Linked DNA regions of Caenorhabditis elegans. The protein of the gene in region 1 interacts with the protein of each later gene in a pairwise test. Each region holds a gene or a part of one and is shown on either strand. Other genes may lie near its edges. The genes, in order: F38B7.3 and vbh-1.

Region 1 (5,006 bases):
TTCAAAGATTACTCCTATATGCTACCGTAGTGGGAACAAAAAATTATGGAGGAATAAATATCAGGGAACTGAAAAATGAAAAGAGATGATATTTTCAGCTGCAGAGTTTGTCTGGGAATTATATGGAACTCACTTTTTCATAAAGATTGTGCGAACTTTCCTCATGGCTACATCACACGTTCATACTTGAATTCACATAACTTTAATGACAAAAAATTATTTTTACGTACCCAGAATGTTTTCACCTCGGTCCAACCAGAATAGAAAAACATGGGCCAGGTGATTTTGCACAGTTCAGTGAACCGTGGATTATGATCATCTGAAAATCAAATATATTCAATTTAGGAACAAAAATATTTTTTCTCAAGGAGAAGTTTTTTGATCTTTCAGTTAGACGTAGAAAAAATGTGTTAGGAGTTTTGTAGGCACAGAACTTTTTCAAAAACTTTATCTTCGAGAAATAATCCAAAATTCCAAATGTGATCCAACTTTCTCACTTTTGAAAACAACACTGTTTGTGTGATGTCATAATTCAGTTTTGCAGTGGAAAATTACTATTGAAAAATAATAAATTATGTAAAATATGATCTCTTTACACTTGTGAGTTGGTGAGACGCTTCAGTATTCAATTAAAAAATTTTAAAAATTTGCTCTAGGTATATTGTATCCGAAAAGTTAACCCGGTGCAAGTATGTAACTTGTGAAAAAAAAACGAATATTTCATTGCAATTTTTTAATGTTGAAAACTTCAAAATTCAAATTTGCTCAGCTCTCCAAATTTTCAACATTGTAGAATTGAAATTAATTTTAAGAAGTGCATTTCAAAAAGTTGAGAAATTTTAAAGGCTATCTGATGAGGGTCATTATGAACATTTATTATCACAGATAAATTCTCTAAACAATTGCAAAACTGAGAATGGCACAAATAGTTGAGTTATAAACATTGTAAAGCAAAGCAATAGAGAACTGAGGGAAAATAGAATGAAAAACAGGAAGAGCTTGATCCACGAGTTTAATAGTCGCCTCCTCCGAAATCTCCACCTCCGAAATCACCACCACCAAAGTCACCACCTCCGAAGTCTCCCGAATCATATCCACCACCTCCGTAGTCTCCGCCACCAAAGTCTCCAGAGTCATAACCAGCATTTCCATAGTCATTCCCATAATCATTTCCTTGATCATATGAGTCTTGGTTAGCATTTCCGTAATTATTATCCGACTGCTGTTGAGATTGATCACCGGCATTCTAAAAATTAACAATTCAAAAAGTTCAATAGAATTTAAAACTTACTCCAGGAGCATCTGTAATAGCATTCGAGCTACTACTATGATTGTTTCCTCCATTGTTGTCATTATCTCCATAATTGTAATAGTTGTTGGTAACAGTTGTATCATTATCGGAGTAATATCCACCAGCCATTCCATAACCACCTCCACCGTAACCGCCACCCCATCCACCGTAGCTGTGATGTCCTCCCCACATGGATCCCAATCCGTAGCCAAGGAGACTTCCAGCCAAGATGCCAGAGCCGAATCCAAGCCCAGTGCTTCCGAATCCTCCACCACCTCCTCCATATCCACCGTATCCGCCACCACCGTAACCTCCATCTCTGACGATTACAGTTGTGTGAGAAGAAGTTGGAACTCCAGCCGGTTGTGGATAACCAGGTTGAGGGTATTGTCCATAAGCTGGTGGGACTTGTGGTCCAGATGGATAAGACTGTCCGCTGGCAGGACGAGGATTGTAGCCTGGCTGAACTGGAGGAGGAGCACTTGGATATACTGTTGGGGGAACTGAAAAATAAAATAAAAATAAATTTAAAATTCGATGAAAAGGCTAACCATATCCTCCATTGTTTTGTTGCTGTGGTGGTTGGGCTCCAGGCCCTTGTTGTGGTGCATTTGGTGGAGGATTAGCAGGCTTCGGTAATGTTTTTGTGATTTCTGTGAACCAAGATCTGAAAATGTTTTGTTGTTTTTTTCTTTTTTTTTACCAGAGTTCTTTTCAAGTTTTCAAGTAATTTCTGAAAAACTATTGAATTTATCTACGTCTTCAGGTGAATGAAAACTAGGGAGACATTCATGGAATTGAAAAGAAAAAACTGTTGGTTTTATTAAATCATATTCAACATTTTTTGTCAAGTTTCACCAAAATGAGCTACAATTTTTTGAAAACAAGCCAGTTTTCAAAAAAGAGCCATAACTCAATACTCACTCAATATCTGAATCTGAGGAAAACAAAATCCAATGACATGGATCAGCTTTTGGATTCATTCCAATTCCAACGAGATGATGAACTGAATTTCCTTCTGGTACATTTGGTCTTTTCACAGGCATTCTGTCAGTCATTAGTCCCACACAAATATATGGTATCACATCTTTCAGAAGAACACTTCCTTTTGGTTTTCTATCACCCTGAACAATAATTTTATTTGCAGTTCTTATCAATTTTCAATGAAACTCACTCTATTTTCAAACCAAACAAGACGCGAATCGCTGAACAACACCGCATACATTTTCTTCCATTTTGAACTGAAGATTCCTGATGTGTATTTCAGAATTTCTCCGTCTTTCAGACGACGAATGTCTCCTCTTCCACTATCTGAAAACATAACTGTAAAGTTTTCGTCATTTTCAGCTATGCCATTTGACTTATAGATAAAGTTTATCAAATGCTGAATTTTATGCAATAATTGAAAATACTCTTTTCTGGCCCAAAAAATAACCATCAGTCAAAGTTAACGAATTATACAAAACTATGGAATTTGTAGTGAAATAACAGTTCATAATTGTTCATAACGAAAACAATAATTGTCGATAATGTGTTTCGCAGAAAAAATCAAATTTATCAAAAACAAACTTTAAGCGAAAATTACTGTTTGCATACTGTCTGAGCCTTAATTGTTAGCTGGATTGAAAACAAAAGAAACTCCGCAAATATTTATTATCTACAGGCCTTACTATTCGTAAAAATATTATGTTGTACATTATCCAAAAAGATACGGTATCTTTAGCACTCGATAACTTTCCAGAAATTTTAAGATAAAAGCCATAACTCACCCATATCGACAGCAGCCTCAGAGGTGCAGAACATATAATCTAAAAAACTGAGAGAACTGACAGAGGTTGGATGGCAGAGTAAGGGTGTTTGTGAGACACGAGAAATAGGGTAGCAGATGGCAATTAGATAGTGTGTAGGATATAGAGTGTGCAGAGAAACAAGGGAGCACACAACCACGAGACAACAGGCAGAAATAAATAGTGTGTGAAAGTGTTGCTAGGACACTCTATGTCAAGGATATACATATGGGTTAGGGTGAAATGCGAAATTTCTAGAAATGGAAAGGTGACATATGATATCTTTGCTTCTCTGGGTCTCTAGTTGTCAGAACACGTCACACTAGTGGTCCCTTATAGAACTAGCTGACATTGCGAAAATCTCGGTTCGTAATGAACAAGAATATGGGAATGAGTCATCGTTTGTTTCTGACAGTTAGTTTCGTGCCCAATTTAAAGTTTCAATTGTTAAAAAATATAAAAGAAAAAATTCCAAAAAGTGTTACTTGAATTTAAAAAAAAACAAAGTTACCGTACCAAATCTTTCATCAGTGTTACAATTTAAAGTTAAGGAAATGGGGAATTTTATTCTAAAATAAACTCGGCATAATGCAATATACTGAAATACCACAAATGAACAACAAAAAAGTGCAAAATTTGAAAAATCAATTCTTCAAACGGTGATTTTTCAACTCGCTAATTTTGAACTTCCTCCGGAATGAGAACTGCACGACCAATCATCAACTCACGGCGACCACTTTTGAACCAATAAGATGAAGTGGGAAAAGTTCCAATTCGGTCTTGCAGTTCTGATTTTGGAGGAAATTCGAACAAGGAGATTGCTGAGAGTTGCAGTCCCCATTTTCTGAACCACATTTAAATATAATAAAATTTTTTACTGAACATTTTAAAACAGAGAATACAAAAATAAATTTATTTTTTAAACTGGCTATTCTCAAATTTGCAATAATTCAGGAGATTTTTTGATTGTGCTAACTAAACTGCATATACATATACAGAACAGAAAAGAGAATAGCAATGAATTGAATTTTTCAGGTGTTCTTGCACTTCACAAAAGGAACTAAAGAGAAACGTGAGAAACACGAAGAAGCGTTTCGATTTCCATGACTACCAGATTATGCTTTATTATTATCATATAAAATTCATATCAAACTCAATTATTCATCAGGCACATTTTCAGTTAAATAATAGAAGAGTTTAAAGGTTCTGCAAGGATAACGTTCCCTGCCATAATAGATGCATATGATGGTGGTATTTCTGACAAATGTGAGCAAGCTACTTTATAGGATGGAGGGAGTGCGATTGATTCGGAGTTTGATGAAGATGATGGTCTTTGTTTTATTTTCTGATTTTTTCTGATTTTAATATAGACTATTGAAGTAGTCCAAACAAAGAAGATACCAACGGTGAGGCAACTGAAATAACATATTTTAAGAAAACGGGGGTTTGAAGAAAAATCATTCATGTTTTCAATAGATCAAGATAGCAACACAGTCTTGTAGTTGAGTGTTACTCCTATGTTAGCTATAAATTTAAAATAAGTTTTTAAAGACAAAAACAAATCTCATTCGTATTTTATTGTTAGTGTAATAGACGTTTAATATAGAAGGAAGTGATTAGTAATTCTCGGTTTTGGAAATTTTCTACAATTTACAGATTGATCTTACTTTCAACAAACAAAAATTGATCCACCATGAAACCTAAAAATACTGTTAATTTTGCCAATTATGCAATCGACAGTTTTGCCAACTCCCGGGGAAAATCGCCGGACTTTTTTACTTTCATATAACCTATGTGCTTTCATATAACCTACATAATGTTTCCAACTCACACTATTATCAAATAAAACGGGTTAATTCTGCACCTCAGCCCGTAACATAGTTCAAAACACGAGCATTCATAATAAATAGAATCGACATGTGTCATAT
Region 2 (6,359 bases), on another chromosome or scaffold:
TAAATTATTTTCGAAAACCGAGCACGTAAATCGACACAGTGCTACAGTAGTAATTTGAAGAATTACTGTAGTTTTCGCTAAGAGATATCTGCGCTTCAAATGAAATGCGCAGTACGGATTTCTCATGATTTAGTGTTCCCATAATACCGAATTTTGAGAGCAGTTTTCCTTCGCTTTTCGTAGATATTATTTGTGTCATTTCTATGCTTTATTTTATTATTTTATCATTAAATATATAATTTTAATTGAAAAAACGAGCAATATTGGTTTCATTTGATGATGAGTCTCCCACAAAAGCATATTTACTCATTTTTCCCCCCTCTTTTGCAGATTTTTAAGGAGAAGACCGGCATTTTTCTATTTGAAAGGCAAGAATTATCAATTTTCATTGATGATAATTGTTTTTAATTCAGGATTTCGACAACAATGGAGAGGGTGAAGACTGCTGATTGTTTTTTTTTTCGAAGTTGAATGACATCGGAAACGAAGGTACATAAACTCCCGGGAATTTAGCCTACAAGTTGCTGGAATCATAATTACAAATTTTCAAATAGAAATGAAAATTTGACTGACATGAGGCAATATTTAATACATTAATTTTTTGGCCTAGGACTAGACTATTAACGACCACGTAGCATTTGACATGTTGTGAAGATAGATAATTTTCTTGCGGTCATTTCTTATATGCAACGAGAGCATCAGCATGCCCGCGTATAAATGTTTTCAAGTACCAGATACCAAGTTTATTCAACTATTTGTCAGGCCACAAGGGCTTTTAAGATTATTCTCAAAGAGCTGAAAGTGAACATTCAAGATGGAAAAAGAAGATAAGAATCTCATAGTGACAGAGATAAGTGCGTGACGAGGGAAAGAGAAAAATGATGGGAGAGGGACGATGAAAATAAAAAAGAAAAATTGTGCATATTGGACAAGAATGCAGTTGGTTGGGGAGAAATTGGCAAATAGAAATTGAAGAGAAAGCGTGGAAACGGACTGCACGTTCAACGGCTTAGACCGGCCTAGAAAATGTTTGGAATTAGCTATTGACGAGACGCATATGATAGTGCAACTTGAGTATTATGAAATGGTTGGTTCTATGATTTTCGTGTATACTGTTTAGAGGGAGAAAAAACAACTAACAATGAATATTACTTGGCTCAAAAAAAACATCAGTTGGAGGGAAAAATGATAGAGATTTGGGGATAGGTGGGGGGAGATCATTATCATAAGAGAGCAACCAAGCTTTTTATACCTAACTCGCAATTATTTAATGATAAACTGACGATCATACTGGCGAACAATTATGAAAATATAATTAGACACCCGCAGCTATACCAAGTTAAGAATTGAATAATTGCAAGACGAATGGTTGGGATCAGATTGGGGAACAAGTAAAAATTAATTAAAAATACACACAATATCACGAATCAACAACGGGCAGCACTATGTAAACGGGTTTCAACAAAGCTTACAAACAACCGATAATAGAGAAAAACCGTGCTGAGTCCCCGACGCGGTAGTGCATCGGATGCCATCCAGCGGCCATAAGAAAAACTACAAAACTACGAGATAAAACTGCATTGATTCTCTCGGGGTATTGTTGATGCAAGAAAACAACACCAAGAGAAACAAAACAATGGTACAAATTGCCAGGCAACAACAACATTTTTGGGGGAAATGGGAGGATACAATAAAATTCAATGTTAAAACCCTAGATCACGCATAGAATCCATTAAAATATTCGTCACTTAAAGCTCTGAGATAAAAAAAATTGAATGATTAAAACACAATTACAGAGAGAATAATATGAAATAAAAGAGAGGAATAAGCCACGCTTTAAAGAAGGAGACAGAATAAAAAAGAGAAGGAGGAAAAAATGATTATTTTAATATGGATGGAACGAGTAAAGGAAAAAAGGAAGACAACTAAATTATAAAAAAAGGAGTATGGTGCGAGACTTTAATGTGGAATTCCGGATTTCCGTTTGTTGCGAATAATGTTTAAGCTTGTGGAGCTTGCCAATGATCAATTGGAGCCTGGCCTGGGTTTGAGTAAAAACCTCCACCGCCACCACCCTGACGGTTCATTCCACTGTTGAAGCCACCTGAAATCAAGGAATTGATTAATTTTGCATTATTTTCTTTATTTTCTCCACAAACCTCTTCTTGGGCCACTGAAGCCGCCACCGCCACCACTATTAGAGGTAGACGACAGAGAGCTATGAGCTCCGAATCCTCCATTCGTGAACGGGCGACGTGGTGCTCCTCCTCCGAACGAACCACCGTAGGCGGGTCCACTTCCGAAACCACCAGTGGCTCCACCGGAATTGTAATTTGAGAAGTTTCTGAAACTATTAGCAATATTAATTTTCAACTGCTCATTTGATCTTACCCTCCGAACGATCCACCACCACCACGACCAACACGATAGTCGGTTGCTCCGAAGCGACGGTTTCCACCACGTTGTCCACCTCCAATGCGTCCTTCTGCAGCAACTTGATGAAGCCATTCTGGGACTTCTTGGTTGGATTCGACAATCAGATTCTTCAAATCACGACCGATTCCTCGATTCTTGTCATTGAAGAAACTGGTGGCAATTCCAAGGTTTCCGCATCTTCCGGTTCTACCGATACGGTGAACATATTCGTCAGAATCTCCAGGAAGATCATAATTGATGACGTGGCGCACATTTGGAATATCCAATCCACGAGCGGCAACAGCAGTTGCGACAAGAATTGGGCACTGTCCAGAGCGGAACAACTCGAGATTTCTCTCACGTTCAATTTGTTTGAGATCTCCGTGAATTGAAACAGAGCGGATCTGCTGACGATTGAGGAAATACGCCAACTCGTTGGCTCCTCTCTTTGTCTCAACGAATACGAGAACCAGATTTTCAGAATGCTCGTTCATCAGAATTTCCATCAGATTGCTTCTCTTTTCCATCTCGTTGACCCAAAGCAGACGTTGTTCAATATTTTCAGACGTTGATCCAACACGACCAACTGCCAAAAAGATATAGTTATCCTTGAGGAAGTCCTTAGCGAGAACTTGAATCTCCTTCGGGAAGGTTGCACTGAACATAGCTGTGGTACGAGCAGTCTTTGGTGGCATTCCTTGGCCAACGATCTTTCTGATTTGCGGCTCAAATCCCATGTCAAGCATACGATCAGCTTCGTCGAGAACCAGGTAACGACATCCGGCGAGTCCAATGAATCCTTGCTCAATAATGTCAATCAAACGACCTGGGGTAGCAATGAGGATATGCGTTCCAGCGCGAAGACGATTCACTTGATCACGATAGTTTTCACGTCCTCCGTAAAGAATAGCCGTCTGGATGTTGCTTTTGTAGCTGAACTTTGTAGCTTCCTTGTGGATTTGAATGGCAAGTTCACGAGTCGGCGAGAGAACCAGAGCACATGGATAGTAAGTGCGACGACCGTTTGTGAACGCTGGCTGCAATTAAAATAGTTTTTTGTATAAATTTTTCGAATTTTGATGGATCGCAGGTTTGCCCTACTTACCGGCTTGACCATATCTGGACCACCAGCCAAAATATGCTGAATAATTGGGAGCAGGAAAGCGGCAGTTTTTCCAGATCCGGTTTGAGCGCAAGACATCAGATCGCGGTTAGCCAAAAGAGTTGGGATCGAGTGTTTCTGGACAGGAGTCGGCTTGGAGTATCCGCTGCGATTCACGTTCTCCATCACAGCCGGCCCAAAACCAGCTTCATTGAAATGCTCGATGGCTGCTGGAACGGAGTCTCCGCTGACTTCTACGGGAATATTTTCGTACTTGTCAAAGTTGATGCCACTGTCGGTACGGTGGAACAAATTGCTGAAATACCATATCGCGTTTAATAATCAGAACATTTTAATCTCACCTTTCGGAATATTCGGCAGGTGCTCCTCCCCATTGATTACTCTCGGCTCCACTGTAACGTCTACTAATAAAAATTGTAATTCAGATTTAAACATACTTGTTGTTGAAACCGTTTCCGCTGTCGGCGAAGTTGTTGTACCCAGACGATCTGCAATTTCAAGATTTGATAAAAGAGAAGCCTCATTTCAGGTTAACAAAAAGCAACAAAGGAAATGAAGAACAAGCATATGGTTAGAGGCAAACACAATCACCAGCACACTATACACCTGTTCTCACCCATTCTCATCGAAGTTTTCAAAGTTTTCTGAGTAGCCCATTTTGAAATGCTGCTGCTGTTGTGGCTGCCCTTGAAAGTAAGGAGAAGGAACAAATCCAGCATGAGGAGCACCCATCATCTGCCCCATCCCTGGGACCATAGGTTGTTGAATTGCATACCCGTTGTTTGACGGAGTTCCGTTGGCGAATCCGTTGTAAAATACGCCTCCTGCAGGCATATTATTGCTCTGTTGAGAATACGAGGATGACCAGCTGAAAAAATGAGGTTGAAATCTTGAAATCCGTTTCGAAATCATACCCTTGTCCCTGTTGTTGTTGTGGCGGCTGTTGTTGACCGTTGTGATTCGCATAATATTGTGTGTTCATTGTAAGACTATATCAAACGGAAACCCGGAATTCGAAAAAGAAAAATCGGCGAATCTAAACCGATTTTGTACCCAATTGACGTCGAGATTACAGAATATGTATCTGAAATTCATTTTATTGGCTTGTTGCGAAACAAATGAAGTTTTAAGACGGAGAAAATGAGTATTTATCATTAATAAACGACGAATTATCATTTTTCGCATAATTTAACTCGAAAATTATGCGAAAAACGATGACAATGGAGAAAATCGACACGAAAAACCGTAGAGAAGAAGCGGAAATGAGAGAAGTGAATTCAGCACGCAATGATGAAGAGACGTTTGTTTTCCCATCGAGACCCGCCGACCGTGTAAATCGGTGCGCCTTTAAAGTGCGTGTGTGAGGAAGCGTGTTTCAACGCAAAAAACGCTCCGAAATTTCGCGAAATAGAATTAAATTTAATTTTTATTAGAATTTCTATTGAAATATATGGGATTTTATTCAATTTTTTGAATTTCCGACTCAAAATTAATAAAAAAAAGATTTCCAGGCAATGTCAGCTCACCGAGTGGCAGTGTCACTGCCAAGAATCGGCGTCACAATTGGTCACGCACCACAAAAGCTGAAAACCGGAGGAATTGAGCCAAGCCGTCGTGCTCGTCTCGAAGTGCTCCGTCGCATCGTCACCCGAACTGTCCGTGAGGAACGCGCCGAGCTGAAATGGAACCGCGCCGTCGAGGCCAGGCCATATTTGGAGAGGGTGAGGGGTTTTTTGTTTGAAAATGAGTGAGAAAATTAAAATTTAAAAAAATAAAATTCAGCTAATTCAATTGGGTGTCGAAAGAGGACCACTTGACGAGTATACAGCCGAAATGATGGAATGGTGGCTGCCTGAGAAGGATTTAATTACGAAAATGCATGAAGTAAATTGATTTAAAAAGATTTTTCGCCAAAAAAAAATCATTTTTTTCCCAGGTAATTGTTCCACGATTCCAAGACCGCGATTCTCCATTCACATCACTATTCCGACTTCCACCACAACGTCTTCAACAATTTATCCAGAATAAGCGAGAAGTCTGGAAGCGATACGATATCGGAGTTCTGGAAATCGACGGAAATCCATTTCCACAAATACAAGCAGACCGCGTAGATCAATCTGAATCAATTCTTGATGTTCTTCTAGCTGACGCCCTTCGGAATCACCAGAAGAATCTTCAGGAAAAGCTGGATACTCCGAAGAAATCTCAATGAATTTTTATTATTTTTTTTGTTTTTGTTTCGCTAGAATCCTAGAATTTTTGTTTCTTTATATATTAAACTTTGAATCATTTTCAATATTTATAACGAATTTTGTGGTTCGATTCAATTATTTATATCTTTATCTAATTTTTTTCCCACTTTTTCACCGAAAAAATTAAAATTCAGAATAATGTTCGAAGAGCAACCGGAGGTAATAGAGGCGATCGAGAATAATCGCTTCGAAATTGTCATCAAAAATGTTCGAATCGATTCGGTCACCGAAGCGGCCAATCTTTCCCAGAAACGGGTTTTCGAGAGTGTAAGGGAATTTTAATTTTTGGAAAATCCGTGAATTTCCGCAAAAAAACGATTTTTTTCTCGGAATTTCAAACAAATTTTTTTTTTGTAAATTTTATAATACTAAATTCCCATCAAAACCCAAAATTTATTTTCAGATGTCCCAATTGAATCTCCTTTCTCTCACTGGATGCTCTCTTCACAATCTTTCGTCTTCGATTAGATCTTGCAGTAATCTAATGCATTTGGTTTTGCCGAAAAATGATTTAAAACAGCTTCCAGACGTTTTTGGTGTGTATTTTGTGGATTTTTTTTTGTTTTTTT

What was found.
Region 2: the proteins of F38B7.3 (region 1) and vbh-1 interact in a two-hybrid assay, tested with the Caenorhabditis elegans proteins (one large-scale study listed by BioGRID).

Annotation. Positions count from the first base shown.
Region 1 is NC_003283.11:11,547,409-11,552,414, reverse strand, and holds F38B7.3 (PH domain-containing protein), read right to left. Parts: upstream 3,309-5,006; 5' UTR 3,095-3,308; coding exon 3,061-3,094; intron 2,603-3,060; coding exon 2,466-2,602; intron 2,416-2,465; coding exon 2,216-2,415; intron 1,959-2,215; coding exon 1,843-1,958; intron 1,795-1,842; coding exon 1,292-1,794; intron 1,247-1,291; coding exon 1,013-1,246; 3' UTR 802-1,012; downstream 1-801. Other genes in the region: F38B7.17 (PheST operon leader peptide PheM), read left to right, coding at 3,451-3,492, 4,114-4,185; F38B7.11 (CX domain-containing protein), read right to left, coding at 4,259-4,493, 4,910-5,006.
Region 2 is NC_003279.8:3,157,764-3,164,122, forward strand, and holds vbh-1 (RNA helicase), read right to left. Parts: upstream 4,629-6,359; 5' UTR 4,521-4,628; coding exon of another isoform or gene 4,453-4,520; intron 4,407-4,452; coding exon of another isoform or gene 4,373-4,406; coding exon 4,155-4,372; intron 4,027-4,154; coding exon 3,976-4,026; intron 3,940-3,975; coding exon of another isoform or gene 3,931-3,939; coding exon 3,880-3,930; intron 3,834-3,879; coding exon 3,521-3,833; intron 3,453-3,520; coding exon 2,392-3,452; intron 2,345-2,391; coding exon 2,160-2,344; intron 2,105-2,159; coding exon 2,001-2,104; 3' UTR 729-2,000; downstream 1-728. Other genes in the region: mrpl-17 (Large ribosomal subunit protein bL17m), read left to right, coding at 5,053-5,259, 5,321-5,422, 5,475-5,750; Y54E10A.6 (B3/B4 tRNA-binding domain-containing protein), read left to right, coding at 5,929-6,057, 6,194-6,326.